Drosophila melanogaster: one gene and its partners. The protein of the gene in region 3 interacts with the protein of the main gene of each other region in a pairwise test. Each region holds a gene or a part of one and is shown on either strand. Other genes may lie near its edges. The genes, in order: CG13321, Noa36, CG3062 and CG15337.

Evidence for each region.
Region 1: the proteins of CG3062 (region 3) and CG13321 interact in a two-hybrid assay, tested with the Drosophila melanogaster proteins (one large-scale study listed by BioGRID).
Region 2: the proteins of CG3062 (region 3) and Noa36 interact in a two-hybrid assay, tested with the Drosophila melanogaster proteins (one large-scale study listed by BioGRID).
Region 4: the proteins of CG3062 (region 3) and CG15337 interact in a two-hybrid assay, tested with the Drosophila melanogaster proteins (one large-scale study listed by BioGRID).

What each region holds. Positions count from the first base shown.
Region 1 is NT_033778.4:12,949,989-12,958,223, reverse strand, and holds CG13321 (uncharacterized protein), read right to left. Parts: upstream 5,113-8,235; 5' UTR 4,568-5,112; coding exon 4,561-4,567; intron 4,267-4,560; coding exon 3,875-4,266; intron 3,724-3,874; coding exon 3,562-3,723; intron 3,449-3,561; coding exon 3,149-3,448; 3' UTR 2,512-3,148; downstream 1-2,511. Other genes in the region: CG44250 (uncharacterized protein), read left to right, coding at 6,048-6,051, 6,346-6,378, 6,875-7,731; CG44251 (uncharacterized protein), read left to right, coding at 6,048-6,051, 8,138-8,235.
Region 2 is NT_033777.3:28,595,588-28,602,286, forward strand, and holds Noa36 (Noa36), read right to left. Parts: upstream 3,702-6,699; 5' UTR 3,635-3,701; coding exon 3,143-3,634; intron 3,051-3,142; coding exon 2,595-3,050; 3' UTR 2,472-2,594; downstream 1-2,471. Other genes in the region: Hrb98DE (heterogeneous nuclear ribonucleoprotein at 98DE), read left to right, coding at 4,931-4,981, 5,119-5,608.
Region 3 is NC_004354.4:4,639,602-4,648,869, forward strand, and holds CG3062 (uncharacterized protein), read right to left. Parts: upstream 5,268-9,268; 5' UTR 5,184-5,267; coding exon 5,157-5,183; intron 4,387-5,156; exon of another isoform or gene 4,113-4,386; intron 2,730-4,112; coding exon 2,593-2,729; intron 2,542-2,592; coding exon 2,232-2,541; intron 2,052-2,231; coding exon 1,767-2,051; 3' UTR 1,668-1,766; downstream 1-1,667. Other genes in the region: CG3081 (uncharacterized protein), read right to left, coding at 1-1,475; HLH4C (helix loop helix protein 4C), read right to left, coding at 6,263-6,766; mRpL30 (mitochondrial ribosomal protein L30), read left to right, coding at 8,366-8,493, 8,574-8,988; torsin, read right to left, coding at 9,084-9,268.
Region 4 is NC_004354.4:8,158,043-8,165,091, reverse strand, and holds CG15337 (uncharacterized protein), read right to left. Parts: upstream 5,039-7,049; 5' UTR 4,980-5,038; coding exon 4,840-4,979; intron 4,771-4,839; coding exon 3,693-4,770; 3' UTR 3,540-3,692; downstream 1-3,539. Other genes in the region: Or7a (odorant receptor 7a), read left to right, coding at 1-547, 749-826; CG10761 (uncharacterized protein), read left to right, coding at 2,464-3,435; GIIIspla2 (phospholipase A2 group III), read right to left, coding at 6,715-7,049.

The DNA of each region.
Region 1 (8,235 bases), on a different chromosome or scaffold from region 3:
AACAAGATACATAATTGCAAATTAATATAAAACACAATATTACTAGGGAGCATTCATATTTTTTGCATTATATGCCTTTAATGGGTCGCGCTATTTGTCTGAGTGTACAGCTTCATGCGCTGCCTGCGCTGGCGTCGCTGCCCGGATCGACGTAGGCGTCGAGAGCCGGGGTTTTAAATTCGAGAAAGGTTTTCGGTTTCGGTGTCGATTTATATACCGAAACGCCCATCGCCGTGCGTTCAACAAAAGCCTCTCATTTCCATTTTATGTACATTTTTCAGTTTTTCGTTTTGCCCCGTTGTTCGCTAACGAAACAGGATGAAGACCCGTACTGCTGGTCTAAAAAAAAAGTAATACCTTCGTAGCAGCGACGTCGGCAGAGCAACCCTCCCTTTCGCACAGAACACACACCATACTCCACACACAGATATAACGACATCGAATCGCACTTGGGCTTTTTCAACTAATTGTATCGCCTTTGTTGTATATAGAAATTTTCCCCTATGTACCACACGGCGGCATATGAAAACCTATGTACATATGCTGGTAGAGCCCTTCTACAAAACGGCTTCATTCGTTGCCAGCTAAATGATGTGCCCTGCGAAAAGATACAGAGACTGAGATACGGATACAAATATACGAACACGGATACGGATACATGCATAGACGACGAGGTTCAGATACAGTGACAGGCCAGAGGCGAAATTTTGTCATTCCTCTCGTCTGTAGAAACTGAAACTGATAGTCGTCCCGTCCCCGTTTGTTATTGTTGCTTGGGCCCTGGAATGTCGAGCATTTTCACAGTTATTCCGAGGGTTGGCGGTAAAAAAGCAAAGGAAGCTGGGCTTCGGCTTCAATGGGATGTGGTCTCCGATAGCATCACAGTTGCCTTTTAATATCTCTTCTCCGGGAAAATAAATGCGAGATTTTACGTGGCACTGCTGACGCTGTATGGCACGGATTACGAGTATGTGAGTGCGCTTGCTTTGCAATAGCGAAATTAAATTACAAGAATTTATATTGGCCGAGGGTTATTCGCCAGGGGGTGGGTCTTCCCATGTCCCGCAACCCGTACTCCTTGTATGGCTTTAAAGTTATGACTCTGCCGCTGCAAAGTCTGAAATTGACAGTCGTTCGGAAAGCTGGTGGTTACACATTGGGGTGTCTGATATTCAAATAAAAACGGGCTTAGTAAAAAGGGGTAACATGGTCAGGTAGAAATATTAAATTGGATCGCTTTGTTTAATCTGCAAAGTTATTTAAGATTTTATCTTCAGTGTTATTGCATTTTGGATATTGGCGATAGATGTTTTTTTGTATTGTAGAATGGGGAATGCTTAGTACTGAAACCAGAAATGCATTCGAACCATTAAACATTTAGAACTTTAAGCTACATATGTTACAATGTACAATCCAGTGTACAACAGATTTGTCTTTGAACTAAAAACATGGGATTTTAGGGCTTTTGTGTGCCCTAAACATTTGATTAACCTTCGATATGCAACATAAAAATATGTTTAAATGTGACATATAATTTGGAATTCTTAGCTTAAAAATAATTCCCCTTTAATTATAGGTCACAGACGTTAAGTTCAAAAAAATATAAGTTAGTTAATATTTCTCTAACTTTGACCTATGTCTACTTAACTATCTGTTTTTAATTTATAATATTTTATTTATAAATTTTACGTGTATGTATAGTACCACTACCTGAGATGCCGTCCGCAGCGATTAAGATCTACAAAGCTGACTTCCAGGTGTTAAAGCTAAATGTTTACAAATAATCTGCCTTTACTGTTTTGTCTTTCGTTGGATTCAGTATAGGTGGAAGTAGCGACGGCATTTTGAGACCTGGGAGGCGGCCTACCAAAACCAGTTTGGAGCGAAAAGATTTCTCTTCATGAACCTTTTGCGTGAGTATCAGTAAAAACGTATTTTTAAAATCTAATATACCCCTTTGGACAATAGCGAAATTATCAAGTCGCTAAGGACTCTGGTGGAAAATTAACTTGTAAATGAAATGTGATAGGAAACGCCTTGTCTTGGCCACCTGCCACTTTTAGTTGGCCACGTCCACAGACTGAGAAACTTGCTACAGAAGACCAATTAAGTTCGAGGTCGGGAGCGGCCGGATTTCCAGTTAGCCAATGAAAACATAGCGCTGCCGACGACGGTAACAAACGACCAATGACAAGCAAGCAGTAAGGGCGAGCGCGAGTGAGAGCAAGCGAGTGCGGCTGAGGGGAAAAAAAATAAGATATTCGACCCTGGGGGTGTATCTTTACATAAAGTCTACGCGCCATGTAGAGAGTCAATCGAAAGCTCTGGAAAAGCTTGCAAAACAAAGCATAACTTCAGGTGTAACGAATTTTTTGGTTGTATGAGATTATCGCCCTTCTTGACGAGATCATTTGAGTTGTATATATCGGAAATCAAAATAGCCTTTCCACAGAAGAAGAACTTATAAAAAAGGTTCCCGTTGTTGTTAAAACATCAATACTAAAATTGATTAGAATCATATTTTATTTCTTTTCTTTATTCCGTTTTACCCAATTTCTCATTTCCCTACGAGAAGCTTTTGCGAGGAAATATACATATTCCAGCAAAATTCAATCCATATTAATAACCAAGACCAGGGATTCTCCAAAAGTCTAGAAACCATTAAACTGGCGGTGAACCACCACACTGACTTTTAGTAATAGTTCTCTCTTGATTACTGGAGTTCGCCGAAATCGGTCGACTAGAAGTCAAAAGGCGTAGTGACCCCGGTCTATCATCAACTCACTTGTGGCAGCTGCTGGATTTTCGTGCCTGGAGAGTCATTGTCCGAATTTGACAGCTATGGAAACCAGGGATGACTGGACAAGCTGTCCTTGTTTTTGCTGCGATGCCAATAAACTTGAGCATAACTTAATTCGCTATAGAGTAGCGTTCATAGCAGGCGATTATTAAATATATAGAATATATCAAATATGTTAAAACAAATTACTTGTGTTTACCAAGCAACAACAATGAGCTGTCTTGTCATTTTTCATTAAAATTTCGGACATTTGGTTTATCAGAGGACGTTTTTAATGAAACAAAATGATTTATAAATTAGTAGGCAGACGACGGGGGGACAACACAAAAGTCTAGTCGCTGTAGCAGCTCAGCCCTTGACCAGGACCTCGTAGTGGTCGATGCGGACCTCCTCGCCGTCGAATGGGATGTAGAGGCAATGGTGTGACTGGTGGATCTTGCCGGGAGTGAGGCTGCCGTGGTGGTGGGCACGGCCGATGAACAGGGGCTCTCCGTCGGAAGTGCGGCCGCAGAGAACGGCATTGCCGGGCACATTGCCATGGCTGTCGTGCACCCATCCGTACCCGTATCCGGCCAGCAGCTCGTAGTCGTGCTTCACAACCTCACCGCCTCCGTAGGGCACATAGGCACAGCCCTTGTTGGGGATCACCTGTGGTGGATAAGTGGATAGATAAAGTGGGATGCAACAGAACAGATTTAAAGATGGAATGCTCCAAGTGTACATTTTCGGAACACGAGCTGTATATAGTTTAAGGTTCTCACCTTGGCTGGCAGCAAATCGCCCTCGTGGTAGGCGCGACCCACATAGATCTGATCGCCATCGGCGTCGTGTCCGCCAACCACTGTTCCGGGAACAATGCCGCGTCCGCTAGAGGCTATCCACGTCTCGGGCTGGACCAGCACTTCATAGGCTTCCAGACGGTGCTGAAATGATATAAGATAAAAGTGATTTACTAAGATTTATCACATTGCAAACACTGCTTGTGCGATTCGTCACTACGTGGTCTTCGAACGTTATTGTTGAGGGGATGAAGGGAATCCATCAACATAACATCAAAGTGAGGGTTAGACCTACCTCCTGTCCGCCGTAGGGGATGTACAAACACTGGTGCGAGGGATGGACCTTGCCGGGGGTGAGGCTGCCCTGGAAGTAACCACGGCCCACGTACAGGGGCTCACCCTCGCCAGTCTGGCCCACTTGGATGGCATGGGGCGGGACAGATCCACCACTGGACGGGATCCAGGAGAAGTGATCACCGACAAGGACCTCGAAGTCATGCTTGCTGATCTCCTGACCGCCCCATGGCACATAGGCCTGCTGCTTGCCGGGCACCACCTTCGCTGGCAGCATCTCTCCATTGTGGTAGGCACGGCCCACAAAGATGGGATCCTGGTCGGAGTCGTGGCCAGCTAGGATGGCTCCTGGGGGCAGGGATCCGTAAACGTTGGTGCTAATCCAGGTGTAGTCTGAGGGCGAATAAAATATATATATAGAGCAAGGTCAGAGGCGATAAGTTAACTTGGGCCAACGAGGGCCAACTGTACACCATTAATCAGCCACAGTAGAGGTTTTTTGTCTTTTATTTGTCAGGGTGTAGAATCGCTGGATCTATGGAAAGCTACCAAAGCTCCAAGGGATTTCGGCTGTCAGGTGCGCGGAGTATCGATGACACTTGCCCACTTGTCACGACTAATTGCGGCACTATGCTTTCGTTTTCGCCAGAATTATCTTAGTCACTAACTTTGCACTTCAGTTCTCACCTCCCATGTTGTATTTGTGTGCTTTTTTTGTATGTTGATTTAGGTCTGGAACGTGATGTTATATACTCGCTGGCTCCGCTATGTTTGGGCTGACTTCAACGACTGGTCGCTACCCGCACATCGGTTGCGCCTTAAAAGCTGTTGTTTCCGCTTATCAGTTCGGCAAGTTAGCCGGCAGTGATAAGATATCTTAGTCACACTGCTCTGAACCGTTCGATTGTGTGTGTTCCACAAAGGTATCCTCATGTCGTAGAGGGTGTTCGTCATTGCGACCAACTGACAGGTGTGTCAGAATGTATATTGGATGATTTTGTTTGGTAAAAACAATTTAAATTCTGGGTTAAACAGGAAGCGCAACCAAAATTACTCAATCGATCTTGTGCATGAATATTTGTTTTTGTTTTTGCGGGTTTTATCTATAAGCAGTTGGCTACGAATCTTATCGCCGGTAGTCAAAAATAAACTTCATCAATAAGTTCGTAAAAGATTATATGTATGAGGGTGGCTGTCCATGGATCAACTATAAGTTCAGGAATGCTTTTCTAGAACAAAAATAAGAACCAACATGTAAACAGTTACCTAACCTTCTTGTGGATTATTCAAATCATAAACCTAATAATTGAGAAACCTTTGGAAAACTAACTGTAACTGTTGTAAAGTTACAGACACTTGTTTGGTCTAAAGATGAGTCAATTGCGATATAAAGTTATTGATATCGTTACCGCTGAGTCACATATGTATATTTATACTTTTTAATGCCTTTTATGCCTTACATAAATGCATACATACATATGTCCTTTGAAATCAGTTTGTTTGTTATTACAAAGAAATTATTAATTAAAAGAGATAAAATAAGCACATACATTACACTAAAGGTTTAAAGATTATTTTTAATATTTCAGTAGGTAAAAAATAATTCAAAATGAATGATCCTTTTTCTATTAAAAGTACAAATTTTCGACATGCTTATCGCCCCTTCAACGGGGGGGATTTTTTGAGCATGGGCGCTTCTGGCAGGCGTCATATTGTTTATGGGTCTATTTAATTGGGGTTCCACCTGTTGAGAGGGCACAACAATAACATTTAAAACAATGTCCACATGCTTCGATTTACTTGTTTTTTTCTTTTACTCCCAAAAGTACCGCCTGTTTGGGCCAATGATTCATTTTCGATCGATAAATGGAATGCTTTTCTGGAAATGGAGCTTTCGAGACTGGAAGTTAAAATTAGTGATAGCAAAGGTCCCAATATCAACTGCACTTCTTTTTTTATATATGTACAAATGCGAATTGAAAGATAAAAGCTCGCCGATAAGAAGCAGTGACGAATCGCTCTGGTTCGGTTTTTAAACGTCAGGCTTTTGCAAACCAATAGTTTAGTGAAAAGACAAACTTTGGTCAGTTCAGACGCATTTTGGAGTCAGAAGAACGCAAGTGAATAAAAGAAACTATTTTTCATAGGAATAACTTATCAACAATTAACGCACAATGGGTAAGTAGAATGAGTAACCTCTGATAAGTGCAACCAAAAAAAAAAAAATGATTTTGCAATGCCAAAGTCTAATGAAATAAGTGTAATTTACCTTCAAGATCATCAAAATCAAAAAATATATTGTTGCATATTAGCTTAATTAAATTCAATTTCCCAATTACGGGCGAAGAAATCCGCAAGTGCTGACCAATTCTGTTGGTATTGCGATTTTTTTCTCTGTGCACATTAGCCGGAAGAAAAGCAAAGAGCATTGAGTGACTTCTACAGTTCTCCGCCTTTCTTTGCTCTTTCCAGGCGCCGTGCAGCCAGGAGGAGTTGTGACCGTTGGTAGGACGAGTGCAGTGAGCCCAGGGTGAAACCCCTACGCCTCTGTGAAACCCCAAATCCCATTTGATCCCCGCCCCCAGACCACCTAGGCCACCCAAAACCACCCAAACCCGCAAAACCGTACAGCAAGCCAAATATGTACACGGAGAAAAAGCTATGAGAGTATGAGTATAGAGTGAATCATTATATTGTACATTGTACTTAATTTTTAATCAAAACCGTATCCATTTAATAATGCAGCTTCGGGATGATAAATGTTTACCTTTTGAAAAAGTACGAAGTTAGTAAATCTTAATCTTTTTTTTTTTAATAACAATATATAATATCTATCAAGACAATATTAATATAACAGTGATTTAAATCAATCAAGTAGAGTTTTAAGATATTTCCAATGGAAAGGACACGAAACTTACTCTCCGGTTTTCGCTCTGTGTACAGATAGGTTATCTTATCGCGTGGTATCAAACTTATCGCCCTACTGCCTTTCTCCTTGCAGACAACACCTGGGTGCACTCGTCTCCATACAGCCCCCTGCCCCCATACGCGGTTATCGGTGGCCATGACTCGGACCGCACGCCCATCTATGTGGGTCGATCCTTTCACGAAGGCGAGAATCTTCCCGCCAAGGTCGTACCGAGCAAGGGATGCGCCTATGTGGCCTACGGTGGTGCGGAGCACACGAAGACGCACTACGAGGTGCTGGTGGGTCAGGGATTTGCCTGGGTGCCCAGTTCCAGCGGTGGAGTGCCACCGAATGCGGTGAGGAGCGGAACGACGCGAACGGGCGAGCCGCTCTATGTGGGACGCGGACATCATGCCGGAAGCTTGACTGTGGGCAAAGTTCATCCATCGCACGGCTGCCTATACATTCCATTTGGCGGCCAGGAGGTGCGCATCAACACCTACGAGGTGCTCATCAAGCAGCAGCACGACGTCTGGGTACCGGCCTCGCCCAGTTACACTCCTCCGGGCGCAGTGATCGCCGGACACGACTCCGACCGTACTCCCATTTACGCCGGAAGGGCAATGCACGAGGGTGAAATGCTGCCTGCCAAGGTGGTGCCGAGCAAGGGAACCGCCTACGTTTGCTTCGGCGGATACGAATTCCAGAAGCCCAGCTACGAGGTGCTCACTGGCTACGGATATGTATGGATGAATTGCGGCCACAGCATTCCACCAAACGCCGTAACCACGGGTCGTGCTCGCAATGGAGAGCTGCTGTACTATGGGCGAGGACACTACCAGGGCAGTTTGACACCGGGTCTGATCTCGGCCAGCCAGCGTTGCCTCTATATTCCGTACGGAGGTCGGGAGATTCGCATCAACTCGTACGAGATTCTCTGCAGACAATAAGCTAAAGGAACGGAACACTACAGATACCATATGCATTTAGTCTAGATCAAACTGTTATCGCAGCCAAATAAACTGATTGTTAATACCGGAAGAAATCTGTGGGCATTTTGTGTTCCTTCTATTTTTAAAATACTTATCCCTGCAAATGTATTATACTGATATGGCCAAAATGGACTGTCGGATTAGACAGGTTTTACAAAATTTATGAGCTACGATAGTGGCTTGCTATGAAGGTCATTTCCTTATATTCTACCTTTCTTCCACATTATTTACTTTTAAAGAAATTTAAAATTACTACATCATTTTTTTGCATGTCTATAGATGAAATAGCATATTATTGGTTAGTCCTTTATGATAAACTAATCACTTCTGAATAAGCAAATAACAAAATGCATCTTTCTTTCAGCCTACAAGTGGGTTCAATCCTCGGCCTACTCCTCCCTTCCCGAGGAGGCAGTGGTGGGCGGCAACGATGAGGACGGCGCCATGATATACGTGGGCAGG
Region 2 (6,699 bases), on a different chromosome or scaffold from region 3:
CAATTAACCCATCGTTATTTTGAGAACTTATTCTCAGGGACTCGCCCACAGGACGAAGTAGATCAAAGGCGTACCCCTGCGCCGAAAAGCGCAGACCAGGAACTTGGGTTCTCATTCCATCTGGCCAGAACTGGCCAGAAACTCGAACGCGGACCGAACAACAAAAAAAAGAGAAAAAACTTTCTCACATTACATCACGGACCAGTGAGGACGGCTAAAACAACAAGGACGAGCAACTGAAGCGCTCTAAATGGACACCGAACAACATCGTTTAATATTGATGGCCATTGTTTGAGCGCTTTATGATGGGAAAGTGAGCCCATCTCCGTGCCACTGCCTACGCTTTTCCACCGGACCACGTTGTGTTGGTGTTGCCGGTTCAAGTGAATATTTAATTAAATTGTTTTCTAATAACCACGCGCTACTTTGCTGGACGCAAAACACGCGTCCGCAAGCGGCGAGCGGCGGCAGGACACGCGGCATTCGGACCGATACCGGGACACACCTTGTTGTGCCAACAACATTAGCAGGGGCCTAAATAAAAAAAAGTACGATGAAAACGAGAGCCACCCCTTTTTCGCTGCGTATCCTGGTTCTAATTTTCCAAATTACGCACCATCAATCATCGCCAGCTTTGACGAACGTCGATGGCGAAGTGGATGTGGATATGGTAGATGTTGATGATGACGTTAGATACCACCCCCACCGAATCCAAACTACCTAGACCATCCCAACCAATCCAATCCCATGGCGCAATCACTTGAAGCGAGCAACGCTGCGGCAGCCGCAAGATGAAATTAAATTAAACTTCAAGTGGCCGCAAGGACCTGCTGAATCCTAAAATCCTAGAGTCCTTAACCCGTAACCATGGGAAGCTGTGCCGCTCCGGCTGTTTTCCATCGTAATTAACGCTAATTGCGTTTGGCCATAAGCCGCACTTTTTGACTTCTCCACGTGTTCCTCGGATTGTCCACAGGATTTTCCCACCTTAATCCTTGGCCATGGCTGTGTTTTTGTTATGGATTGACTTTGGCCGACAAAAATATTGGCATTGCATAAATAAGCAGTAGATAATGCTGATCGGAAGTGATTACAGTTTGCGTTTGGCATTTCTTGGGAATCCTGATCCCAGCGAGATTTTAAACCCGAGACCCATCCATCTGGTAATTGAGAATGCACTCCGGCTAATGAAGGCGGTCATCGTGATGGGAAGTGACCAAATTGGCTGGACAGAGTGGTCTCAAGGATTAATATCGCAGTGCAATTAAGAACTCAATCACTGTGACTCGACTCGGGTCTTGTTTGCCTCTCTCTGATTACATTTATGAAATTATTATTGATGTTTGGCACTGACCACCACAGCCCACAGTCCATAAATGGCACACCCCCTCCATCTAGCCCCCATAAGCCACCCCGTTTCTAATTTTGTTGAGTAGCCCTAACTCCAATGGCTTGGACATCGCCTCGGCCGGAATAGACAGGCCATTTTGATTGAAATGCAGACACAAATGCTGGCAGGCGGCCATTAAGCTGCTCCGATCTATACATAAGTATGGTCGTGTAAGTAACCACAGCAGGGGGTATCTTAGCAAGGCTAATTACACATTATACCAAGGATATGGTAGGTATCAATCCATCTTTAAAGTTCGTAGGGAAAAATATAAGTGAAGAGAAATCTTGCTTTAAATGTTTAATATTAGCTACTATAGAGACCGGATTATGTTTTAAATCAAAGGACTATTGTTCCCACCGCGACTGTATGTGCATCCCATATCCTCTCACACTAATCTGTATTATGTACACAGTTGATTTGCCTGCCACTCATGCCACCCAGTCCCCGACCCCATGCGTCCACATCCTCGCCCAGGACTCGCCTACATAAGTAACGCCACATATGATTTCATTCATATGCAGAAGAACTATGCTCCTCCCTTATATCAGGCCGCTCATTGATTTGCAATGCCTAAAATGTTTCAGACTGATGATGGGTCGAACCCTGCCCACATCCCGTGCCCCACATGGCCCAGCAACCATCGCCCATCTACCCATTGCTGTTGCTGTTCCGCTCTGCCTAACTGACAAACATTCCCAAATGCCGAAGTGCGTGTCTTTCGCTTGGTGTGTGTGGTGTGTTTGCCATCGTTTTTGGAAATATTATATGCTCATACCTCCGTTTTCGAGTAAATTGTGTAAATATTTGCGCTCGTAAGTGGATTGGAGATGGATGAGTCTATCAGCAGAGAAGTTGGCGCTGGCAGAGCCGTTGGCATCGCCATCATCATATGCGTACGGGTTGGCCCTGCTGCTCCTCCCTGCCCAGGGCCATTATTTCCAATCCGCACCCGCAGTTCCCCAGTTATCCTCCCTTGTGGAATTTGGATTCGCATTCGCTTGCGCATTTACCTTTCGACTTTCGCCCACAGTCCACTTGCAGCTTGTTGCATTTTATAAAATGGCTACTTGGAAACTCTACAATTTGACAAAGAATTTATTTCCCTATTACATCGAGAGAAACGACTGCACAGCCGAGAATTCATTCGCACACTTAGAGGGACTAACAAAAGGCCATTTACGAGTATATAAACAATTCAGCCTTATTTGGTGGCCTTTTTGTCGGTTTCCTTCTCCGGTTCACTTTCTGTGGTCTCGTCCTCTTCCTCATCATCATCATCGTCTTCATCGCTTTCATCATCGTAGTCTCCATCGGACTCATCTTCATCGTCATCACCCCCGTAGGAGTAGCCCCCACTGGCGGCGCCACCATAATAGCCACTGCCACCGGCTCCATAGTATCCACCGTATCCCTCCTCGTCGTCGCTGTTGCCTCCTTGTTGCTGTCGCCCGAATTTGTGCGACCGCGTGGACATGCTGAGGTCCTTGGTCACCGAGGTATCGTAGTTGCACTTGGGGCATGGAATTGGCTTGTTCTTGTCGTACTTGAAGCCCTTGCGACGCACGTGATCCTCGCAGTAACAGGTCTTGCAGCGCAGGCAGGAGTATTGACCCAGCTTGTTGCACGATTGACACTTGTAGTTCTCCGACTCCAGCACCTGGAACCGAATGGATTGCATTACCAAAAGGCGTCATATGAATCTCAAAATGAAGTTCGGAACAAGCTTAATGAGTATTTTTGGTTACCCACCTGACAGCTGGCCTGGTGCTCGAACTGATCGTCCTCGCACAGGAATCCGTTGCAGAAGGAGCACTTGAAGATGCGCCCACCGTGCTCCCAGACACCGCGTTCGCACTCCAGGCAGGTCGCATTCTGCAGCGGACACGTGCAGGCGTGGTTTTGGAGACACTTGCGTCCGTGGCAAACCCAAGCCTCGCAGAAGTCGCAGATGGCGCCCACCATTCCGAGGCCCGTGGTGTAGACGCCCGGATGTTTGACCACGCAGTCGCCGGTCTTTAGCATGCACTTGATTTTCCCGCACTGGGCGCAAATGGGTAATCTCTGAATGCTCTGGCAGAAATAGCAGAAGGCTCTCGACTTCTGCTTCTTCTCGCACTTGTCGCACTCCATTGGTGCATTGCAGGGCAAATCCGCAAGAGGCACCTCTCTGCTGCGGATCTCCTTGAGGCGAAGCTTCTGCTTCTCGGCCTTCTTACGCTGCCCAGTCTTCTTTTTCGGCATTTTTGAAATCAAGGAATTAGAAAACTTATTTCCTTACGTGTGCGGCAGTGTGGCTGCTGCGGGTGCGCCGAAAAATACCACAAAAAGCTTTCGAATATTCCGCTAAATATGTAGCTACATCTTGAAAATAGCTACAAAAAATGCGTTAAATTAGCATCGTGGAGTTAGCGGCGACGGCGGAGCCGAGTAATTTAACACATCATTTTTCTGGCCAGCGTGCATTTTGGAATATGCTCTGCGAGTGGAGATATTCCTTGAAAAGTAGCTAGCCGATTTTTTTATTGCATATTTTATATACTTTCTGAGTCCTATAAACTTTAGTCGTACATAGATAGTTAGATCTCTTAAATAGTTCGATTTATTAAGATTTTTGCATTTGTATTTTTTTTGGAATTTACCTATAAATAGCGAAAAATTAAATAAATAAATAAGATTCTCATTTTCCATATTTCACCGTTCTGCCATAGACGCTAATTTGACCCACATAGATTTTCAGTGGAAACAAGTGGAAGCAACAACCGATTAGTGTAACCAAATACCTTTGCTTTTATTTAGGTCTAGTATTTTTGTAAGGTCTGTCTACGGCTTTCCTTTCCACAGGAAAATATATTTTCAGTTTTAGGGAAGGGGTGCTACAGTGAGCGTCTTTCGTTCCCAGTGTCGTTATTTCTATAGTATTGCTGAGATATATATCAGAGCAGTAAAGATATTTAAATATAAGTTCTTCGAAATGGGTGGTCACGACAACTGGAACAATGGTCAAAATGAGGAGCAAGATGTAAGTAGCACACAAAACCGCGACTGCACAGGGAAAAAACTCAGTTCGGCCATAATCCCAATATATATATATTTTGGTGATCAACGCGCTTTTACCCATGCGGCAACTAAAGTTGATGTGCTAAAGCATTTCGTTGCGGTTTTGTTACTTAAGACTAAGACTAACAGTAGTTGTATCTTAATAGTGCTAGGGAGTACGATGCTGTCGGTATTGGTTTCTCTTTTAGCTTTTTAGTGCAAAAGGCGTGATCAAGAATACACATGTTACACACATTTTTTAAGGCATGGTGAAAAGAAACAGGGCAGATATTGTAAAAGTATTGTATTGACAAGGGTGTCTGTCAACTTATCGTTATCGTTCTAGGTAGTATCGAATAGGTGCTGGGTTTAATCGGGTTGTAGAAACGGTCACACTGTATTCAGTTTTTTCATTCGTCTCGTGTGTCAGGGGACTTTCTCCATTTGCAATAGCAAAAAAAATAGTTAGATTAGAAGTTGTTCAACTTTTGCATTAGTAAAATGGTGAACTCGAACCAGAACCAGAACGGCAACTCCAATGGCCATGATGATGTAAGTAGTGGATATTAAGGGTCTAGAAATTTCCTGTAAGCTGGTGTCTCGCCTTGCCGGTCGCCATTTTGAAAATTACGCATGTGTCTCAAGGGCGGAAAGTGAGGTTATGGCCATTGATAAAATCAATAATTTAGGACTTTCCTCAGGACTCCATCACCGAGCCGGAGCATATGCGCAAGCTGTTCATCGGTGGCTTGGACTACCGTACCACCGACGAGAACCTAAAGGCTCACTTCGAGAAATGGGGCAACATCGTGGACGTGGTGGTCATGAAGGATCCGCGCACAAAGCGTTCCCGCGGATTCGGATTCATCACCTATTCCCACTCGAGCATGATTGATGAGGCCCAAAAGTCGCGTCCCCACAAGATCGACGGTCGAGTGGTGGAGCCCAAGCGCGCCGTTCCCCGTCAGGACATTGATTCCCCGAATGCCGGAGCCACCGTAAAGAAACTCTTTGTTGGCGCCCTCAAGGACGACCATGATGAGCAGAGCATCCGCGACTACTTCCAGCACTTTGGCAACATCGTCGACATCAACATAGTCATTGACAAGGAGACTGGCAAGAAACGCGGATTCGCCTTCGTCGAGTTCGACGACTACGATCCCGTGGACAAAGTTGTGTGTAAGTACAACGCTTTTCCTAATCTAGACAATATCAAATATCCTTTAAGAATGATTTATCTCTTCGAGAGTAGACTGTTAGGAAAATCACATTGCCATGTTCTTAGATTTATACAATACAGATTGAATTATCTGCACAGGAAACGAATATTAACCCCATTTGTGTACGCGGCGTTCGTGTAGAAAAAAAGTATGACATGCAACCACCCCTAATCTATATGCTCAATCAGCTCTGGCACATTGTAGGGCTTCTCGTAAATGTCCATCAGCGTCGGATAAACGAATGCGCACTATAAGCAAGAAATTTCGATAAAATTGCAATTATTACAATATATCCACAGTCCCAGCTCCGCATAGCAATGTTCGATGTGCTTGTGCGGCGTTTGTGACTGTAAGAATAAATTCCAGCCAGTATTATATCATTGTTGTTGGTGCTCTTCGTGCATCAACGATGAAAGAGTATATGGCACACTATAGCTTGAATCTAAAACTGTTTCCTAATATCACAGTACTGACAAATTAACTGGTTTGAAACCATCACCAGGGTAGTTTTTTTTTAAACGCTGTGAGATGAATTAAAGCGTCGGCTAAGCTATGTTATGCGAATGTAAGCATTGCGCCTATTCAGTGTAACACGCAGCCTCGTTACAATAGTTCAATTAATTGCTATTATGGAAATCGATACACAGTCCCAGCTCCGCATAGCAATGTTCGATGTGCTCATGCGGCGTTTGTGACTGTAAGATAAAAGACCCAGCCCATATTATATCGTGTTGTTGGCGCTGTTCGTGCATCAACGATGAAAGAGTATAAGGCACAATATCACATTGAATTACCAACTATATGAAAAGAATGAGTATCTAAATGCCTTCGCTTACTTGAATATACTGACAAATCCACAGAATGGTGAATGTTATTTAGCGTGAATATATCTCCTAAAATTAGCTACGATTCCACAGTCCCAGCTCCGCACAGCAATGTTCGATGTGCTCGTGCGGCGTTTGTGACTGTTAGAATAAATTCCAGCCAGTATTATATCATTGTTGTTGGTGCTCTTCGTGCATCAACGATGAAAGAGTATAAGGCACACCT
Region 3 (9,268 bases):
GGCACTCCGGCGCGAAATGCCGCCTTACTGGTCAAGCAATGTCCGTGTCCGTGTCCATGTCCATGGTGATGACCATGTCCGCCGAACGATGGGGGACAGCATCTGGGAGCTGGAGCCACCTTGTGGCAGAGACGTCGAGCTGGACGCCGGAGGAGAACGTCTCGCTTGCATGGTGGACCACCCGTTGGCCGGCAATCCATGGCCCTGCAATCCTGTCCAGAGTCCGGACCCAAATATTTCTCCCTCAAAGCCTGGTAGGCTTTGTCGCCCAGCAGGGGTGACGATTGATACTGCTTGGCTAGACGATCGGGCATCCCGCGACCGGGTAGCTCCGCCAAATTGCCGAAACTCACACCGCCAGTTGGACCGCCGATGCCCGATCCTCGCCTGCAATGCGATGCACTGGAATCGCGGGAGACACTGCGTGCTCTTTGTCTGGCCGGTGGCGAGTAGTCGCAGGCGCACGGATCCTCGCGATCCACACGGGCACCGCCAAAATCCGTTCGCTTCCTCAGGATGTCCTTGTCGAAGAAATCGGCCTCACCAAGCGTGCTGGTGAAGACGCCAGCCGATCGGCCCAAGTCCGAGGACTGTTCCTCGCGAGGCGTTTTCACGCAGGTGAAGACAGCCGGTCCAGCGGAGTCATTGGAGCCATCTATGTGCCTGGCCAGGCGCGGCTCATCCGATGGATTCGCCGGCTTGAAGTCCCAACAAATGGCCAAATCCATGGGTCCCATCTTTTTGGCCGGAGCGGAGCCAACACCTCGAAAGGCATCGCCATTGCCGAGGGCACGTGGCACGATGCCACCGCCGGTCTTCGGACGAAAGACCTTCATCTTGGTGCAGTGCGTCGGACCAGCATTGTGCGTTTTCACACCCACGCCCGTGGCAATGGGATCGATTTCCAGGGCCAGGCCAGCATGTCCGCCGGATATTTGCGCTCGCCGGAATGCCAAATCGGCGACGCAATCGGGCAGCGGCTGGTGGTCCAAATTGTCCTGGTGCATCCGTTTGGCCAGCTCGAAATTGGCATATGCCGGCACCACTGGCGATGGACACCGCTCGTTGGGCTTCTCCGTGATCGAGTGCAGCGGCATCTTCTTGATCAAATCGGGTTCGGATACGGATACGGGATCGAGATCAAAGCTTCGTATACCCACCGTCGGCAATGAGATTAGATCCTTGCCCGGCTCCAGGCACGCAAAGCTCAACTCGCTGCTGCGCTCCAAGTGATCCGTATAGCGATTTTGGGCCGCTGCCAATGCCGGAAATTGACGACCGGCCGCCGAGCCCAGCTGCTCCCTGTACTTGATGGGCTGCGTGTCGCGCGTGTCCAAGGTGAGACGACCAAGTGGCACGCTGTCCGTGCTGTTGCGTTTCTGGTCGAGGAGCTCCTGGTGCGAGGGCAGCCGGAACTGCGGCTCTGTTAGGTCGCCCGGCGTGTAGCTCAGTTCCGGGAGAGCTGTTTGCGACATGATTGGATGGAGTAATGGAGTAGGTGGCTTTCAGGTTCGTTCACTTGTTGCAATGCGTTGGTGGTGCAGAATGGAATGGGATGAGATAAGATGGAGATGGAGATGGAGATGATAATGATGTATGATTTATGTACATATGTAACAGATGGTTTAACCTGGGTTTAGTTATAAAATATATATGCTATATGATTTGTGTTGAGTGCAATCGTGCTGCCCTTTAAAATGTATTTTAAACCTGCGGTTACAATGAATTTGATTTGAATTTCGGTTGAACAAAATAATGAAGTTTTACTAATGGCCCTTCGCCGCCTTGCGCTCTTTCTCCTTGCCCTTATCCTTCGTCTTATCCTTCTTGCCCGCCTCCTTGTCCTTTGGCTTGTCCTTCGGCTTGTCCTTGGGAGTGGCGACAGTCGCCGCCGGTTTCTCCGACGATGGAATCGGCTTGGTCAGCTCATTGGGATGCAATGCCGTTCGTCCTTTGGAAAAGGCGGTTATGGTGCGCTTTCGACGCCGCTTTTCGGTGGCCACACCCGTCGTCTTGATTGCCTTCGGCGTCATCTTCACGGTTTTCTCGCTCTACGGTTGCAGGTGAATGTGAATGTGAGTGTGCAGGGTGCAGGATGAAAGTGCAAAAAGTGCAACCAGAAATGAAAATATGTATAGCTTGGTTGCAGATAACTCAATAATCTGGGTGCACATAATTGGTAAGAGGTGACACCGATGGTGACCCCGATGGTGACCCCGATTCCCACTCACCACCACGTCGCACTTGGCCCGATTGCAGCGCGCACTCCGCTCGCTCAACGCCCTCAGCTTCTGTAGTCCCTCGCACTTCGTCTGGCACCGTTCGCGCATCCAGTAGGGATCGTCCTTGTGGCCCAAGGTCAACCGCTGATCGCAGGCCAGTGCCCTGCGGTTCTCTCGCTGACAATTGCACAGGTCACGCGGAAAGTCAACAAACTTGTACCGCCCACTCAGACAGGCATCGTAGTGGGCGCAAAAGGCACGGGTTATTCGACGCGGTAGCTCGTAGGTTCCACGATATTGGCCAAATGAGTTGCCCTCCCTGTGGATTAAAATTAAACTGTATAATTGTGGGGCATTGGCAATTGCTTACTTTATCACTTCGGGCAGCAGGTGACCGTTATTGGCCGCCACAACCTTGGCGTTCTTCTGCAGACCACGTGGGCGGGGTGGTGAGAATCGCGGATATTCCCAGTTGTTGAGACGCTTCGACTGGAATCGGCCTTCGAACTGCAACGAACGAGTAAGTAAGGAACTCGATGTCAGGGAGCTGGGCATGGGCATGGGCATGGGATTAGCCAGGAGTCGATAGACACCTGTTAGGAAAACGCGCACGCCCCCTGCGAGTAATGCCCTTATTTATGGTCCCAGCGCAAACAAGGCAATTGATAAAAAGAAAGAACAAAAAAAAAAAAAAAAATTGTAGAAGGAGCAGAGCAGAGCAGAGCAGTAGCCCACCCCGCAGCCGTGGCCAAATGTCAATCGAAAACCGGAACCCACCCCGGGCGAATGGAGGTGGGGCCAATTACACGGCGTAATCTCTACGCTGGAACATGTGTAGAAAGGCATTTGTCTAATGCCACTTAATGCCTTGTTTGTGTTTGCCTTTCTAAAAATTTCCAACATCTCTGCGCGCGCTAAAAAACGAGCCACTGCATCTCATCCAAAGCCCGGACCATTTATCAGAAGGATTAGCCAGCCCTAAGCGGGCACAGGAGCAAGTGAGCCCGGCAATATGCCTGCAATTGAATTGGATTGAACTACTATGTGGCATAATTGAATATGAATATGAGAAGTGAAATCTGTTAAATGGAAGATCATCTCTTCCAAAAAAAAAAAAAAACATGGAGCAACATCCAACTTTGGGAGATTCAAAGCTTTCAGGCTGCGTGGTCTTCCCACGCGTACGAATTTCAATTAAGGAATGCAAATGGACCTTCGCTGGTAACTCGATACTCGGAGCGCTCCGAGTGTCACCACTTGATTGAGGCCTTGATCGATGGGTGCTGCAGTGGGTGTTCCACTGGGTGCTGATTCCGTATTGTGAGTGGGTGTGACAAGGGCGCACGTTCGCAGCGCGTGGCTGTTTTGTTGGTCAACCAGCATTACCGCATCGGCGCTGTAATTAAATTTGCACGGCAATTACGCAATGTAGCTGTGCGCTCGAACAAATTGCGGCGTGAAAAAATACAAATTGATTTTAAACTCAATTAGCAACAAAGGAGCTAACAGCACTTGGCTCGATGGTGTGGTATCTATGCTAACGCTACACAATAGACAGATAGATACAGTGATGGGATAGATAGATAGATTGGTAGCATATATGGGTAGAATAGTTTGCACCCCTTGGATGAGATGGTTGAGATGGGTGAGGTGGTCACCCCAGCTGGGTGAAGCGATGATTTTTATGGCAACCCTCTGGGGTGCAATTTATCACATGGTGTCCTTGCATTCTCGCATCCGCAGGATTAGACAGTCAAAAAGCTAGTTGGCAAACACGTGCACGGTTGAATCGCTGGTTTAGGCCGAGGCACTGGGGTTGGGCTAGAAGTTCGCCAGAATGAAGGTACTTCTCTACTTTCGGGTACTCTTGTATCGTATCTAATGTCGCACTTGTATCCACTGGTGTGTCCTGGTCGAGGCGACAAGCACTTAAGCTAATTTCACGCTCTGCCGCCGACTATCCTTTGGTCCAAAGCTCCTGTATCCTGTGGATTGTGCTCCGCCTCCTGCTTCTGCTTCTTTCAATGCTCCATTCAATTTTTCCAATTTCAATTTCCGCTGGCCGAACAGCTGTCGCCCTGGCCAATTGGTAAACCATTAACGCCAGGCGTTTCGATTGATTCTCGAGTGCGATTCGAATAGATTCTTTTCGAAATTCCGTCACCACCGCAGTTAACCGATTCCGTTGCGATTGTGTGTGTATATGGCGAATAGCTGTGGACTCCCAAAAACGAGTTGCGTGGCAAAGGTTCTGGTCCAAAGTAACCGTTACCAAGTAAATAAACTTTAACTGTCGCTATTTGCAAATGTGCAAAGGCGGCGGTGGGCGGTGGGCGGTGGGCGGTGGGCGGGGAGGAAATGAAAAAGCGAGCTCAAACGGTTATGGGAGCGGAAACGGTAACGGAGCGGTAGCGGTAACGTTATGCGTACGACACTCAAAAACAAGAAAACACCCGACATATATTTTCAAAAATAAATAAACAAAAGTTTAAAATTCGAGCAAAGGAAACACATGCCATTCAAAATGAGTTAATTTAAAATATATAAAAATATAAATAAAGAATAAAATATATAACTGGTAAAAACTAAAATATGCACACAACAAAACTTCCTTGTCGCCTGGCCTTTGTTTTTGTTTATGAACGCCAGTACACCCACACCCATGAAAATAGCACCCATACAGGGACAAACAGCCGATTGTCGGAATGCAGGAGTCGTTTTTCACTGGATAGAAAAGGATGGCGCCGAATCGAGTTGGTTGCCATTGCCACGTTTGTTGTTATTATTATTGCGAAAATGTTTACATCCATGGATCCACACAAATATATATATATGTATATATATATATACCCGTTACCCGTACCAACCAAATTAGGCCACTATTTATGGATATTGAAAACAGCCTCCCAATCGACTAGAATAAATTTGTCTTACCTGCTGTGCACTAAAATGAAGGGCCATTTCGAAATTTTGCACAAAAGTCGAAATTTCCGTGACGCTTTCACAGTTTCTAAAACAAAAAAATAAAAATGTATCCTCAATTTTTGAAAATTATGACAGAGGCTGCTCTACTTCGCTTTTACACAAATGGGCGGGGCTTGGCGCAAAGGACACGCCCGCTTTTGATACGTGGATACGTGGTTCTTGAAGGTTGGTGAAAAAGGGGGAACTGTTAGCATCTGGCTTTTCCGAGCAAAGCGTTCAGACAAATGGAAAACTCAGTCAGAGCAGCTGGTGTCCAAAAGTCGAGGGGAGTGTCGTGCAAAGGCGCGCCAAAATACATAAAGTAGACAATTTTTTATTGCGATTACAATGCTGTATATATTAATCGTTTGAGTATAAACAAATATCACGACTTAAAGGCTAGACAAAAAATGGATCTTAGTTTAAGGTTCTGTTTTTTTTTTCTTGGTTATTTATATTATATAAACCATGATCAAGGTTTACTCCGAGGATTAAGCACTGCTTTCCCATAAATTTAATTGTATGTACTACTGGCATATTTAGTTTTGTTATTTCCTTCGATATTTCTACTTTTCAATTAAATTACACAAACTAATAGCTTATATCTTCTACATTTAGTACGGGCATATTTTAACCTTAGGTTAAATCGTGGCTTTACAATTGTTTCTACGAAAACAAACCTAAGCCTAAAAAAAAAAACGAATCGAAACGAAACGACGGGCATTTGTCTTTCAACAGTGGCAAGGAAAAAAAAAAACAAAAAACAAAAAAATGTATGTATTTAACCATAGGTTAAATAGGTTAGCAAATCGGCAAAATCCATCGAACACTTCGGTTAAGTTGGTGAGATGGCTAATTCGATAATCGCATTATCCATAGCCGCCACCGGCAAAGTATCCAATGGAGCGATGTGCGGATTACAGAGCATGGTGAAATGCGTTTATCGGATGTGGAATATTCGCAATGTTTTCCCCCTAAATCCGCCCGCCACGCCCCCCCACCTCCTACGGGGGGGCGAAAAAATTGGCCTCGTTAAAGAGGCAGCTGGTGGCGAAACTGGAGGCGCCGGCGCTATCTCAGGGCGTCTCCAGCACATGATTCAAATAGGCAATGTAGCAGATGGCCAGCTTGAGGATCTCGATCTTGGAAAGCTTCTTGTCCGGCGGCAATGTGGGCAACAGCTTGCGCAGCTCGGCAAAGGAAACATTGAATGCCTCCACCCGTATACGCTCCCGCGTCGCATGTGCCGTTCGGTATTTGAGTGTCGCTCGCCTGCGACGACGCCGCTCCTCCCGCGATAGACCCACCAATTCCGATGGATCCAAATGGGCAATGGGCGTGGTCCGGCGACGTGGCGCCGGCGTGGGCGGCGGTGGCGGTGCCGGTTGTGCGGCCGTTTCGCACGCCATTCGCGCCTGAAAACGCTTATCGATATCCAGCGTCGTACTGGCCGCATAGTCCTCGTTGACCAGATGCGGATTATTTGGCCCAATCATCTCATCATCGTCGACCAGATAGTAGCGACTAAGCGAAATGCTTTGCGGCGGACCCGCCGCCATATGGCTCATATCGTAGACCATTCTCTGGCTATTTGCACCACTGATTTCGGTGCTGGACACTGGACTTTCTTGCGCTGCCCAGCCTGCTGCTGAATGCTGGAAATGGAAATGGAAGCAAGAGGATGCACAGCTTAGACTATGAATACAACGAAATGTGTACTTGATTGCTTCACAGATCTGCATTTCAAACTCAAGGAAGACGAAAAGTGTGGCTACCTTTGCGGTGGAGCGCTCATGCTATTGAAAAAAAAAAGGTTACAATAGGCGTTGAAGAAATCATAATCCTTGCACTCGAATTATTTATGCTTCATTTGTGGACATTTGTGATGAAGGGTGTCCGTGTGTGTGTGTGTCGTCCTTGCCGATGAAGGACACACCCCTTTTTCGCTGCATTCTGTTTGCGTTTGCTATTATTTTCATTTATTTTTATTGTACTTATTGTGCTTATTGTCGGCATTGTGCGTGTATTGTTTATTCGCAGCATATTTTCACACCTACACAAATAGCTGAACAATCGGCACGTTTATTTGCCCGCGGGAGTTGGCAAACCTCAGCGATGCCAACCCCTTAGGCTTGGCCACCCTTTTTTGTATTGTTGCGGTTAACGTATGATTTTATATCTATTGATTTAATGGGTTTTGGGTCCAAAAAGTGTCACTGGAATTGCATCAAGTCGAAGACGTGTCTATTGATCCCATGGGATGATGGAAATCCGATCTAGTTTTAAGAACTTGTCGTGTAACTCAAGTCCCCTCAAGACTATGAAACTCCAGTACACTTACACATGTCGAGTGCGTGCACATGGTCAAGTTAGCTAATTAACAAATTTCTAGATATAATTTTAAACGAACTAGAGACTTCATTCAGCTATTTGTATCTTTAATTTGATTATTCTACTCGCTAGTACATTCACTTCATTTGCATTGCTCACAATTTTTGGGCTTTGTTGCCTGAACTTACAGCAGTTATCACAGGTGCAGAGTTATTCTAGATCCTTGAGTTGTCTGGCAGATATCCTTGCTTGCCACTAGAGTCGGTTGCTCGCCGGATGGATGCTCACGTGGAACTGACTTCCGGTCGGGAAGCTGCAGCCTCCTTTATAACCAAAATCGGAAACAACCCCATTGCGTTGAAAGCCAGCCAATGCCAAGTTATCCACCCTCGTCGATTAGCGCCAATTGTAGCTGACAAAATGGCGGAGATTTTGATATGAGACCGCCCCTTTCCAGAAATGGACATCATCCCCTGGAGGCTGTGTAATCCGATGACCTAAAAACTTTCTTTTCTCAACTAATTCTTGAAATATTAAAAAAAAAAACAACGAATATATATTACCATCTTATTGATAATGTTTTCGCTATCTTCAGTTTGTAAATGATAAATTATCTTCAGTTTGTACATGATAAATTATCACTTTTAACTTTGCCGCCTTTGCATTTGAATTGTATCGCTTAACAGCAAGCGGTTAACATTGGTTTACATAACGGCAGTATCCATGCTGCCCATCGATAGGCAACTAGTTAACCAGATGTCTGTGTAATCGTTATCGTCGGGGAAACATCAATTATTTCATAAGCGTTTTGCATTTAATTTTATTACAAAGGGGGGAAAACAATTAAGATGAACCTGGGAAGGCTGCTGAATCCACTGAGGAGCACCGCATGTTCGGTGCGCAGCTACGGAAAGCACAACAAGAAGTTCCTCTACAAAAATGGCCAGAAATTTGAGGGTATCACCTACTATCCCAGGTTCGTATTCACGTGTGCAGTGTATAAAAGGAAAACACACGAAATCCAGCATTTGTTAATGCTAAATCTATCCCGCTCAGGACTCCCGATCACCAGGATCCACCCGTGGAGCCGGCGAAACTTTTCCGGGTGCAGCGCATCAAGCCGCTAAAGGGCAATCCCTACTGGGAGAATCGAATCCTCAAAGATCTGGGACTAGACGGAAAGCAGAGCGATTTTACTGTCGTCAAGAACATACCGGAGAACAATGCCCGCCTGTGGAAGATCAAGCATCTAATTAAGGTTACGCCGGTCACGTTCCCCTACGGAGAGCCCACTGCCCAGGATGTCCGGCATACGATACTCAAGGAGAACGGCGAGTGCCTGGTAACCAAGGACCTGGGACCCATCGATACCCGCCTGGCGGCTCGCCAGGATTACGACGAGCAGCCCAAGCGACTGGATACCGATCTGCTGCGCAAAGATGCCCGCCTCAAGTGGCTAAATCCCTGGTAGTTAAAATTTGTTTTCTTTATTCCGAAAAAATAGTTTTTTAAATACAAACCGAAACCCAAACTAAGCATTAAAATGTGGAGTCGGTCGGTCCTTTCTCAGTAAATGGCCATGGCCACCTTCTTCTCCAGCGTCTTGCAGCCCGAAATGGCGAACAAGCTGTGCGTGCGATCGTAACTAATGGAGGAGTTTATTATGTCCTCAATGATTTTTTGGTTGTTCGCTTGCTTAGGATCGCGCCGCCACCTTAAAAGCTCCGCCTCCAGGCACTTGATCACATGCG
Region 4 (7,049 bases), 3.5 Mb from region 3:
TAGCGATGATGTGTACGCCGTTATCTATCTGTATGTGGTCCGGATTCAAGTGCAATTGCTGGCCAGGCGGGTGGAGAAGCTGGGCACGGATGATAGTGGCCAGGTGGAGATCTATCCCGATGAGCGGCGGCAGGAGGAGCATTGCGCGGAACTGCAGCGCTGCATTGTAGATCACCAGACGATGCTGCAGCTGCTCGACTGCATTAGTCCCGTCATCTCGCGTACCATATTCGTTCAGTTCCTGATCACCGCCGCCATCATGGGCACCACCATGATCAACATTTTCATTTTCGCCAATACGAACACGAAGATCGCATCGATCATTTACCTGCTGGCGGTGACCCTGCAGACGGCTCCATGTTGCTATCAGGCCACCTCGCTGATGTTGGACAACGAGAGGCTGGCCCTGGCCATCTTCCAGTGCCAGTGGCTGGGCCAGAGTGCCCGGTTCCGTAAGATGCTGCTCTACTATCTTCATCGCGCCCAGCAGCCCATCACGCTGACCGCCATGAAGCTGTTTCCCATCAATCTGGCCACGTACTTCAGTGTAAGTCCGCTCTACTATTAGTTACCATAGTTAGAGATGATAGGTTATGAATAACAATCTTGGCTTAAGAGTTAGAGGATTACCAACTGAGGACATACTCTTTCTATTTTCCAAATACAAAGCACATACCAATTTTCTTATCCTTAGCATGATGTTTATAGATTTTCCTCTATATTAATAATATTTTCTCCATATCTTTAGATAGCCAAGTTCTCGTTTTCGCTCTACACGCTCATCAAGGGGATGAATCTCGGCGAGCGATTCAACAGGACAAATTGAAGACCATTTATCGTTGATGCACTGAGAAATACATATATATAATCTATCAAATTTCGCATAATATGCGTATCTATATATATATGTATCTATAGGATGCGCTAGTTTTAGGGATTTTAAATCCCAACTGTAGCTTGATTATCCATTCCAATATGATACACACTGTATTGTAAGCAAATAAATTAGAACACGATGTGCCAATTTGTTTTTTGTAGTGTATTCCCTGCTGTAGATATCAAGTAGATACCGAATTAAAAGCGAAATCAATAATGATCGCTAATCGGCCAGAACAGAAGCCTGCTAACCACCGAATCGCATTGGCGCACCTCTATTCCCGATCCCCAAACCCCGATCACCGCTATCGCAATACTCATCCACTTTTTTGCATCCCAAGGCGAAGCACCTGTCAGGAGCGGAGTGGCCACCTCTTCGTCGCCATCTCCATGCCAGATCCACTTGGCCACCGATTTCTGGCCCAATTCGTAGTGGTGACCACACTTTGTTGTGCTTTACCGTTGGCCCGTGCACTCAGCGAAAAATGTATATGTTATATATGTTTATATTATTGTATAGTATCAAGATCTCAAATCAGATATATAAACGTTGCTTGGAATATATGTATATAGTTATGTTATAAAATTAGTTATAAATACCTTTTTCTAGATTGAAATCAACTTTTTCTGCGTGTAGCTGTTGGCCAAAGTGGGGAAAAGTGGAATGGAAAGGCTGGCTTTCCCAGTCTGGTTCTCAAATTCTGGCCAAGCTGGAGATATTCGAGGCTGGCCAAATGTTCTTCTGCTCTCGAGCCGACAGGTTCTGCTTATTTTTCGGTCCGTCGCGAAGTTGCTTTCGTCGGAAATGTGTGTGAAAATTATGTTTTATGTTCAGTGGATTAGTGGCCAGTGCTGATCCTGCTCCTAAATTGCAGCCATAAGATACATTTCCATCTGAGGATCATCGGGATGGTAAGTTTGAACTTGCTTTACTTACGTTTCATATGTTTGGGAAAGAAAAAAAGGAGGCAAAGTCGCATTTGCATCCACATCCAGCAGATCCAGTTTGTGCTGGCTACTCTTGCACTTGGCCTTCGCCTATTTTCACTTTGTGGGCCAACAGGTTTTCCTTTTGGCATGTGCCACATTCGCCGAAAGTAAACCACCTACAAAAAAAAAAAAAACAAAGTAGACCGCAGGGAATGCACTCGAAAAATGCCTCAAAATCGAGTTCTTAGCATTGTAAATATATAAATATAATCGAAAATATTGGTATGATGTATCTGAAACTTATTGCTGTAGTTTTTATATTATATAATATAATTTAGAATTAAGCAATTGATCAGAATTTCCAAGTATTAGGGAATTAATCATATAGAATATTTGAAAAATTGTTAGGTTTAAGAAATCGGTGTGTTTCGAAAACGTAGTGTTGTAAAAGTGTATGTTATGTCGAAATGTCACAAAAATGATTCGAGAAGCAGGATAATCAGGAACCTTCGAGTTTAAAGTACATATAAGCGGGTTATTTGCAGCCGTTCAAAATTCAAGTTGCCACCTTTCCAAATTTCATTTGCTCCGCCTGGAGATTGGATCACTGGATCTTCGGTGGTCATCGTTGCCATCGCCCAAAACATCACCATCACTATGAGCCGACAATTTATGCATTTACCGCTTCACAGCCGGCTGCGCCGTTTGAGAAGCGGATTGGAACCGCCATCCGGCAATGTCGTGGATGACAGAATGTGCTGGATTTGCCTGAGGGGCGATGAGGATCACCGCCGAAGGGATTGGGTGCATCCGTGTCGCTGTCGCGGCACCAATAAATGGGTGCACGAGGCCTGTCTGAGTCGCTGGATCGATGAGAAGGAGATGCTATCGCCGGGTGCTCCCGTGACGTGCACCCAATGCCGCACGGAGTACATTATAGTGATGCCGCCACTATGCCGCTTCGATGCCATGCTGGAGCGACTGGACAAGGGCTGCGATCGTATGTGTCCCAGTGTTCTGATGGGCATCCTGGCGGCCACCGTTTACTTCTCCGCGGTGATCTACGGAGCACTCACCGTGCTCCAACTGGCCGGCTACAGCACGGGCATGAAGCTGCTCCAAGAGGATCCCTCGCTGCTGATGATTGTGCTGCCATCGGTGCCGACGCTCCTACTTCTCAGCAGGCTTGTGCGCTGGGAGGACTGCGTGATCCGTTGGCTGCGTCGGCGCAAACGTAGCGCCATTCCCGCCGAGCAACTGGATGCTGTGGGTCTACCCCTGCCCGGTGCTCCGCTGAGCGATGAGTACTTCGATGAGCTGGAGCGCGAGTATCCGGCCTCGGATGGCCTAATTGGCGGTAACTTGGCAACGGAGCAACTTGGTCGCGCCTCCACCAGCTTCTGCATTGCCCTAAGTCTGCCCACCATTTCCGTGGTGCTGGGACAGAAGCTCTTCGGCAGGATCTACGAGGAGAACAAGTTATTGAGCATCCTCCTGGGCGGACTGACCTTTGTGACCATCAAGGGATTGGCCAGTATCTTCCTTAGCCAGTCGCAGTATCAACAGAGGCGCCACAGATTCGTCATGGACTACACTCCTCGCAATCGTATCAACTATCAGTCCCGGTAGCGCTGAAGGCATCTAGAATCTGCAGGCATCCATCAGTTACAACAAAGATCCACTGATCCTTATTTAGTTTTTTCTTTTATAGAATGGCCAAAAATCAATAAATTAGTATAAGTTGCCAAATATTTATTAACAATTGTTTGAGAAATTCCAAAAAAATTAAGTAGCTCCAGTTCACCGGAGTTGGCATGTCCAGGACTTTGAACGACGGACGGCACCTGGCCGAGATCAGTGTCCTTGGCCATATATAAAATAAAAATCTAAATGGCGGCTAAAGCCCGCCTAACTGCTCCCAACCGGTTGCTCAGATTCCGGACGATATTCATGATCCTGATACGCGATCTCTGGACCATCGAAGGACCCGGATGCTCCAGCTCAATACATTTGCCCGGCCAGACGAACATTATGTTGGAGGCCACCGCCTCGTCGAAGAGGAGCAGATAGCAGGGTCGCAGTGACAGCGATTCCTGCACAAAGTACTCGAGAAAATGCTTCTCCGGCGAATGGGCAATGGATTCGTCCAACTCCGAGGGTAGTTCGCATATGACCAGTGCCCTTTGCGGTGCAGTGAGCGTGGAGTTCCGCCAGCACAGCGAGCTTGAATTTCCAGACTGCTCCCTCTCTGCAATGGATTGGCTGGACGATTGCTCCTCCGACTGGACATGCTGCTGCTGCGGCAGCGAGCTCAGCTCGTCGCAGTGAACCAAGGCTGTTTCCGGTTGGGCATACAAACGAATGGCAACACCTGGCGGTTGCTCCAGACGTCCAGTGGCCAGGAAACGATATAGGTACTGAAAGGGCAAGCCCAGATAGGCGTAACTGGATCTTGGCCTTGGACTCGAATCGCCCAGCCGCTGAACATTCCGCTCATAACTGATGCTCAGCAGATGGCCGGGCTCCAAGGTGGGTCGTGCCAGGCCCAGAAAGCGGCAAAGTCGCCGCAAATGCAATCCCGACATGCGGCGCAGAGTGGGCGACGAGGGCGTGGCCACCAGGATCCAGTGCAGCAAATGCAGGGCGTCCACATCGTCCGGCATCAAAGCGGCATACTGCTCGTCAGTACTGGGGCAGTCCAACATGATGCGACAGGAGGGCCAATTATCGGCGACGGCGTGACGCAATCGATCCACTTGGCAGCCGGAGCCTGGTGCCGCTTGAAATTGTGGCGGCACCGGAATGAGAGTTCTCTCGTGCTCCACACTGCTGGCCGCCGCCGTGAAGATCAACAGGCGAATGTCACTGGCCTGAGGCTGAGCTCGCAGCGCGTCCCGAACCTCAGACATTGCACGCTGGAGCGGAATAGGACGTGAGGATACCGGCGGAGGTACTTTTCCCTTGCTTTTGTGGTTAATAGGGTTGGAAGTCAGTGGGATAAGGACTTTGGACAGTGACGAAACCAATGCTTACTTAAACGCTAAAACGCCATCGTGTGGCTCATCCGGCTGGAGTTTGGTTCTGGGCTTGGTAACGGGTATCGGCAGGGGTCGAGGATTGAGGATCGGATTGAGACTGTTGGGCACCATGCCCATCGGCATTGTTGTGTCCATGTCCGGCAGCGATTTTTTTTCACGTGCAACACACAATGCCAAATAAATCTAAAATATCGCACTAACTCTTCTAAAATTTTGACAAAGCAAATATAGTTTCGAAAACTCTGAAAACTCAACGGCGAGCTACTTGGTGATTCAATGTTGATTGATTTTGAAACGGAAAAACACAACCATGATTAACAATTAATATTATTAATATTGTTTTTAATTTCCAAATTGCGTGAGAATATCACTTTCCATTTGCAAATCGACAAATAGTTTTCGTGACGTAACTATTTGCGAAAATCAGCAAATAAACTGCTTGCGCATAACAATTCGAATGCATTGAGTATACGCACTGTTGTACTACGAGTATACATACGTACCTCAAACCAAAGTCGAGTTTACGCGAAAAAAAAAACGAAAGCTACGATTACGATGGGATGCGATGACATTGAATCCAAATGGCAGGAAGTATTTACAAGCTCCAATACGGACGGGCCCCTCTGTTGTAAACGGCCAATCAATCAATAGTGAATAATAATAATACAAAATATTTATTTATATTTAATTGCGTCACGTTGCTGAATGCTGAATGCTGATTATAATGCTGGACTCTCTTGAACTAGACCTCACACTGTGCTATATTTTTGCCAGCTTAACTACACCAAACAAAAAGGCCTGGGAAAACTTCAGTGTGGCCTTTATATACAATATATATCATCATCATCATTAAATATTGGGAATTAAATCCCAATCATCACATAAACATGTACCTTGGACTTGAACTAATCCATGAATCCTTCTCGAGCTCGCAGAGGTCACCACCATGACGCATCTGACCTAGAAGTGGTAGCCAATTGAGAGGCGAGCTTACGATCCATGGGTCAACGGGTCATCTGGATGGGCAATAGCTACGTCAATGCGGCGATCACAGTCCAGACATACGCGTATACTATGGCTGGCTGGATGGGATGCTGATACCGAGTGCCCAGTGCAAAGTACGACATTCCACAGCGGATGGATGGATGGATTGCTGGATTGCCGGTTTACGGAGCTCGTATTTGCACAATACAATCACAATCATGTACATATGTCTTATGATATGCTTTTACTCTTTGGAAATTTCATTTATTAAGTTACTACGCCTACAACTAATTACGCACAGGTGGTTTATAGGGTATCTATGGGGTCTACAGCTAGTTTAAAAAAAACTTGGTTTTCTGGCAGCCTGTTATCGATTCGTTGGCCTAAACTAGATTGAGTGACTACAACTAGGTGTGTTAGTACATCGTATCGACTACTACGCATTATAATAGCACTTGACAGTCATATAAATATGTTGGTAATTTAGCCTAATACATAGACGTGGTGTCTCTGGCTGTCTCTCCTCCTCCTCCTCTCACAATCTGTTCATCTAAGTACGGATGATGATGGTGTTTTGCCATGCTCTCCCATTGAGTTTCAAACCCAATTGCAGCACTATGTGGCGGTATGTTTGGTTAGCTCCTTTTGCGGGCAGGCGACTTTGGGATACACAAATTCCTGCCGGTCGTCGTGGGCCAACTGGAAATATGGAAAGAAAAGCATATTGTTACTCAAACTCAAAGGATTCTAGAAATTACAGCTAAGCTGTATTCCAATTCAAATGCAAAGCATAACGATAGAAGCGATATGGAATTGAATGGAATAACCACATCATTCTTCCTTTGAAAGCATAAACATGAATGGTAGCTCTACCCACCTAGGTCTCTTAGAACCGCTTGTTGTCGCGCAGGAAGGCCTTGTGACGCACCTCCTCCTTGAGGCACGGATCGGTCTCCTTTCCGGAGCCGCCCCGCTGAACGCAAACGGTCTCGGCCTTCAGGCCGAAACACTGCGTCTGCACGACATTGAAGAAGAGCTTTCCGATGGCGTTCGCATCCTCGTCGCCGGCCATCTTCAGACACGTGCGGAACCGTAGATCACAGCTGCAGTGTGACAGCGTGTACGGTCGATAGTTGAAGAGATCATAGCGATTGGACATGCCATCGATCCACATTTTGCAGTGATCATGCTTCCGGCAGCATTTGTCCGCCTTGGAAGCGC